Ovis aries: one gene and its partner. Each later gene encodes a partner of the first gene's protein in a complex. Links are inferred from orthologs where the notes say so. Each region holds a gene or a part of one and is shown in the gene's direction. Other genes may lie near its edges.

Region 1 (2,738 bases):
GATGTGGGCCCTATTTTTTTTAATTGGAGAACTGCTTTACAATACTGTGTTGGTTTCTGCCATACATCAACATGAGAAACAATTATTTTGGGGGGGGGGGGGGAACCCACCCTGCAAAATCAGGAACTATGGATCTTGAAAGTTTATCTTCTCTTAGTCCCTCTGATCTTAGTGACCCAACCTCTATTCACATTCTACTTTTGAATTGATATTTTCAGAGGAATATTATTTAAGTGTAGAATAAAGTTAGTGATAGGTTAAGATTAAACACTACCATTATGACCAGCATTCCCCTGATGGGAAGCATCATGTCAGTCTGGATGACAAAATTCTAAAGCTGGATTTGGAGTGAGATCAAGAATTCACGTTTCTTTGGAACTTTACCCCTACCTGTGAGGGACTGTAACATGTGTTGCTCCACTGGATCACAGAGTTAATTTGACTAGCTGGCTGGCTGGCTAGGTAGAAATCTAGTCCATCTTGATGCTCTCTTCCTCTCATAGGTTGAGTCTCCTTCTCAAATGGATGTTGAATTGGTGACTGGGTCTCCCGTGACACTTTCACCCCAGCCTCGATGTGTGAGGTCTGGCTGTGAAAACCCTCCCGTTGTGAGTAAGGACTGGGACAATGAGTACTGCAGCAATGAGTGCGTGGTGAAGCACTGCAGGTGAGCTTACAGTTCCCTTCTTATAATTAATGTATGGCTAAATTAACTCTTGGAATAACATGGTATCTGAGCATATAATCAGTATCACCTTACCTTAGGTAGAATAGGTTGCTATGTATGTCTGATTACAGAAGCTACTAGAAAAGTTTCCCTCCTTAAAAAGAGCTTACATTTGCCATATAGACAAAGATGACATAATTAGCAGTTCACACTTTTCAGTTACCATGTTAGCTCTACGTGTTCATTTTGAAACTATGACACATCAAGCTGTTGGTGTCTATGAATATCAGTATAGTTTATCTCCTTAGTGCAAACCAGACCACTTAGGTAATGAATTAGAATTTGAGGATGGATAGGTGGTTAAGTAGCACAATAAAATGCTAAGTATAGGGCAAAGGGAAGAAGTTCTGAAGATTCTGCCCATTTCCCCAGTTTTCCTGAGATTGACCTACATTCATGAAATAAGGCATTGGTATTTCCTATCTGAAATCCTTTAAATTAGGACTGCCTATACTTCTGACTTCTAGGCCTACTGCCCTTATATTCCTATTTAGGTGATATCTATCAACCTATTTGTTTAAGACTGAGTTTTAAAAAAACATACCTAGGCTGTAATTCTAAGTTTGTGTGTATCTTTTTCTTTCTTAGGGATGTCTTCTTGGCCTGGGTAGCCTCTAGAAACTCAAACACAGTGGTGTTTGTGAAATAGTACATCTGTTCTCCAAGCCAGTGAAGACTTACTGATGGGAACATGTCCACCGAGCCTATTTTAAAAAGACAAGCGAGGCTTCTGGTAGTGCCTGATCTCAACCCATGATGATCCTTTATGTCTTTCACCTTTCTCCCCTTCTGTCGCTCTTCTACAGAGCTATGGAGCAGGGCCACTGGGTTTGCTGCAATCTGGAATTGCTTTTTACTTTCAAGTACAAGCAGATATATCAGTGATAATAACAGGAAAGGGTGAAGGGAATATAAACAAGTAGAACATAGGGGTGATGGATGGGTGGGGGATTGTTTGAGGAAACTTGTTGGTATAATTGTCGTAGGATTTACCTAAAAGATTATTAAAATGATAGAGTACTCAGCTTTGAGTCTAGGAAAAAAACATCACTGTGTGCATCCCTTCTAAAGGGGCTAAAAGGTTGCATTAAAGGTTACCTCTTAGAGAACTATTACTGTCACATCTGTACATTCATTATTAGTTTGAGAACAAAGGTTTTCAACACAGTAATAATAAGCACACTGGACTGTAGAGAAAATAACATCACCTAGGAGCTTCTTATTTCTCTGCCATTATATTTCTGTACTCAACTTTCTGATTGTATCACAGTTTGAGTGTAAAAGGGAGAACTCGACATCCTTAATATAAGAGGTTTCACCTAAGAGGTTTCACCAAAGTTTAAAGAAAGTGTGTTCACTTGTGTTTGATGAAATATCTTTTAAAAAAATAGGCCGAAGTGTTCTCACTTATACAGGCTAATTCTCTGCATACCCTAGGCACTTATTTAATGTAAGATGTGCTTATTTCATTTTTCTTGGAATTAAATGAATGAAAAACTAACAAAGCCACAGTTGTAACAGAATAAGCAACTATTTAAAACGTGACAGCTCTAGTGATGATAATCTTAAGTGATACTCAGATCTTACCTTGAGAAATGTCCCAGAGAACCCTTTCTTATCATGTTTATAATACTTAACTGCTGATCAAATCAACATTTTAATGCTTTCCACACATTCATTTAGTTTGAAGCTTTATAGCAACCCAATAAGGCAGGTAACATTTCCCAGTTACCTAACATTCCCAGTTACGTTCCCAGTTTACATTTATAAGCAATCATACTAAGTTGAGTTACACAAGATCACACACTCTTAAGTGGCAGAGCCAGAACTTGACCTCGAAATCCCAACTACAATACAAACTTTTATTTAAATAAGGGGGGAAAAAAGCTATTGTACAAACATTACTCTTCAGGTACAGCCTGTAGAGCCATGGCTATGGATGCTTAGGTTCAGAAGTACTTCTATAGATTCTTAGGTTTAGAGATGATACCATCTGGATATCTTTGCTTGA
Region 2 (3,751 bases), on another chromosome or scaffold:
TCCCAAACTAGGGATCGAACCTGTGTCTCCTGCACTAGTAGACAGATTCTTTACTACTGAGCCACCAGGGAAGCCCTACAACGCTTTCAAAGAAGGCTTAAAGAAAAGTTGTGGGTGGTAGTCACAAGAAGGTACAACCAAATGAAAAGAAAATTCATCCACTTAAAATTTATGCAATCTAATGTAGGCTGCTGCTAAGTCACTTCAGTCGTGTCTGACTCTGTGCGACCTCATAGACGGCAGCCCACCAGGCTCCCCCGTCCCTGGGATTCTCCAGGCAGAACACTGGAGTGGGTTGCCATTTCCTTCTTCAGTGCATGAAAGTGAAAACTCAAAGGGAAGTCGCTCAGTCGTGTCCGACCCTTGGCATGGACTGCAGCCTACCAGGTTCCTCCATCCATGGGATTTTCCAGGCAAGAGTACTGGAGCGGGGTGCCACTGCCTTCTCCATCTAACGTATAGTACACCTTAATAAAAAAAATACAGAAATTGAAATCTGGCTCTGTCTGTTGCGGACCAACGGTCAAAAGCCACCAGCGTTGACTCACACCCAGAACAGGCCTCCTGGGGCGTAGCCCACCTCCGCAGTACCTGCTGTCCCTGGGCCTGCGGCCGGGGTTCCTGCAGGGGGCGCCTGAGTCTCTTAGCGGTGGCGAGCCCGCACACAGGCCTGAGGCTCCGGGTCACGCGGGGCCTTGGAATCCAAGGGGTAAGGACGTGGGAGTCCCTTCCCCTCCCGCCCCCGCAGCAGGTCTGGGAATTGCCTCTTGGGGCCACCCAGCCACGCCACTCCCTGCCGGCAGCGCTGACGTCACCGCCCCGCCTCCTCGCCTCGCGCCGCCGTTACCGCCCCGCCCCTTTTCCCGGCTGGCTCCGCGGTGAGGTTCCTCGCCCTGGGCTTCTGCCTGTCGTCCCAAGATGGCGGACACAATGAGCCGGCGTCGCGCCGGTTGGCCCTGAGGCGACCGTGAGGCTGAACGGTCGGCAAGGCCCCACAGTCCGGGCAGAAGAGTGTTGCTTAAGCAGGAGGAGAAAGAGGAGGAGGCGTCCCGACTGCCGGCCGCTCTCCCGCCCGCCGCCGGCGCGGCGCCCGCCCCGCCCCGGTCGGCCCCTCGGCAGCCCGCCCGTTCCCCGGGCCCCGCCCTGGCCCTGCGCCGCCGCCGCCGCCGCCTCAGGCAGCCGCCGCCATGAAGCTGACCGACAGCGTGCTGCGAAGCTTCCGCGTCGCCAAGGTGTTCCGCGAAAACTCTGACAAGATCAACTGCTTCGACTTCAGCCCCAACGGCGAGACGGTCATCTCCAGCAGCGACGACGACTCCATCGTGCTCTATGACTGCCAGGAGGGCAAGTGAGTGCGGCGGTGGCCTTGGGCCCGGGTCTGAGTCCCGCCCGCCCTCCGCGTCGTGGCCCTGCGCTCGCCCCGCGGCCCGCTCTCTGCCCGGGCCCGGCCCCGCGGCCTGTTTTGCACACGGTCCTGCCAGGGCCGCGTCCCCTCCGAAGCCGTCTGGGAGACCGTTTTTTTCTTAATAACGATGGCGATAACAATAGTCTTGTCTTCCTTCGGTCTCCTTTTAGACCGTTTTTGCATCTCTGGCCAAACCCCACCTTGACCTTGACCTTTAAACGCCGGGTCCGCCCACCGCGGCCCCAGCTGGTAGCTTTTCCGTTAGGCGGGCTTCGTCCTCGGTGCCCGTCGGCTGTGGCCCCCTTGCAGAACCGCGGAGGCTGCTCGGCTGCCTCATTCAGCAGAGGCAGCTCCCTCTGCCCTCTGCTCGGTGACCTCGATTCAGTCCTGGCCCATCGCCGGTCCCCTGCCCCTCAGCTTCCCGCCGTGTTTTTGCCGGAAGGCCGCGTGGGTTGCAGTTGTTACCTGTCAGGATTGATTTGTTGTGCCTCTTTGGGCCCCTTGTCTTTTCCTTTCTGTTGCAAATCATTCTCTTCCTCCCTCAGTCCCGGTTCCTACGTTTATAGTTAACTTTTTAACAGCATCTGAAACTTTTCCTTTTTGCCAGACACGGACGAACCTGGCCGTCCCATCCCGACCTGAATGTGAACCTCCTAATAGAACAAAGAAAATATCATGTAACAATTTCGTGTTTCTTCTTAGGCTTGTTTTTTAAAATTACACCTTACAGTCGATTAGGACTTAACCACAGTTCTAAGTCTGATCATGACATTTCTAGGTTGTCCCAAGTCCTCTGGAGACCCAACACATCTGTATCTCTGCAGAATCTTAAAAGCACAGCATTTTGCCAGTTCCCCCCTTTTATCCCTTTTTCCTCAGCTCTGCCCCAGACTTGCTTTCTTCATGTCCCTGCTAAATTGTGAGCTCCTTTTTGAATCCTTGGATTTTTCTTTACCTTCTCCAGCTGTTCCTTTTGTCCGTTTTGTTTAAACTGATGTCTTCTATAAACTTTCTTTCAGAACTTGTCTCTTCATTTCTGAATTTGGTCATTTGAGGTAATGGTCTGAACTCTATTGTTCTCCCCAATTTTTTCCTGTTTGGACTGTGAAAAAGTATTATGTAACTGGCTTTGGATCTGCCTGCAGTATGTGGAAGAGTGGCCTATAGTGGTGGTCCTGGGGGAAGAGAATTGTTAGCTGGACCAATGCTGAGTGGTGATGTGAGTCAATGTTATTCATTTCTGTCCAAGTCTGGCCACTTGCATTAACGTGGATTAGAGTCATGTATAAAGCTAGGGTGGAGATAGAGGTTGTGGGGTCCTGGAGCTGGAAGAAATTTTTAAGCTGATTTGCTTGAAATGCTTAGTGCTTGTGCACAGATTAGAACCTCTTCCTGGAACTTGAGGATGGAGGTGTGTATCTTCATTCAAAGAAAATGAAAATCATGGAAGCATTTCTTCAAAGTTTGTCTCCAAATATGGCATAATTTCCACCCCTTAGTAGAAATGACATTAACTGGAAGTCCTTCTTGTTATAAGTAAAATATTAATTTTATGACATAATTCAGTTCATTCATTCATGTAGCATTTTTACATAATTACAAACTTGGCAGAAAAGTTACACCATTGTTTACAAGAACTCCCAGGATCCAATAATTAGTTATGTTTTGCTCTGTTTTGTCATTTCTATGTAAATGTTTATATTTACATATGTATATGTATATATATGTGTGTGTGTGTATGTATATACAGGTGTGTGTGTGTATATATATATATATATGCATTTTTTTCCCTGAACCATTAGATAGTAATATAGAGGTATCAAGCCCCTTTATCCTAAACACTTCAACATGGATATCCTAAGCACAAGGACTTTTTCTTATGTAACCAGATTACAGTTATCCAAATTAGAGATGTAATATTGACACAGTAGTATATAGCACATTCTTTAAAAGATTCTCATGTGAATTGTGACCTTGTTTCACCGTGATCTGTGATAAGAGAGTGATCTGATAGACTGGGTTCTAGTTTGGCTTTGTGACTCGGTATGTGACATTGGTCAGATCTCTTCTCTAGCCTCAAGGAGTCCATGATCCTAAGTGATAACATGAAGAAAAAAATTTGCCACTAGTGTAGGTCAAACCAACATTGGAAGAAAAGTAAGATTTCCTTGGAAAGCAGTATCTGTATTAGATGGTACTAATGTTGGGAGTTTGAAAATAGCTAAAACAAAATTCTTTGTGCTTAATATTTTCTCTGTTTACTGTTCATTGACACTTTCTTTATAATGGAGTTCATCCACTGAGTGATTTTGGGGAGAGGGAGGTGCACCACAAGACATGTAGGGT

The links.
Region 2: TOX4 (region 1) and WDR82 share a complex: the UniProt entries of both Homo sapiens proteins name them as parts of the PNUTS-PP1 phosphatase complex. The link is inferred for Ovis aries from reciprocal best matches to the Homo sapiens genes TOX4 and WDR82.

What each region holds. Positions count from the first base shown.
Region 1 is NC_056060.1:24,025,789-24,028,526, reverse strand, and holds the end of TOX4 (TOX high mobility group box family member 4), read left to right. Parts: intron 1-503; coding exon 504-667; intron 668-1,315; coding exon 1,316-1,376; 3' UTR 1,377-2,232; downstream 2,233-2,738. Other genes in the region: METTL3 (N6-adenosine-methyltransferase catalytic subunit), read right to left, coding at 2,689-2,738. UniProt on the Homo sapiens protein: Transcription factor that modulates cell fate reprogramming from the somatic state to the pluripotent and neuronal fate. In liver, controls the expression of hormone-regulated gluconeogenic genes such as G6PC1 and PCK1.
Region 2 is NC_056072.1:48,701,410-48,705,160, forward strand, and holds the start of WDR82 (WD repeat-containing protein 82), read left to right. Parts: upstream 1-895; 5' UTR 896-1,187; coding exon 1,188-1,348; intron 1,349-3,751. UniProt on the Homo sapiens protein: Regulatory component of the SET1/COMPASS complex implicated in the tethering of this complex to transcriptional start sites of active genes.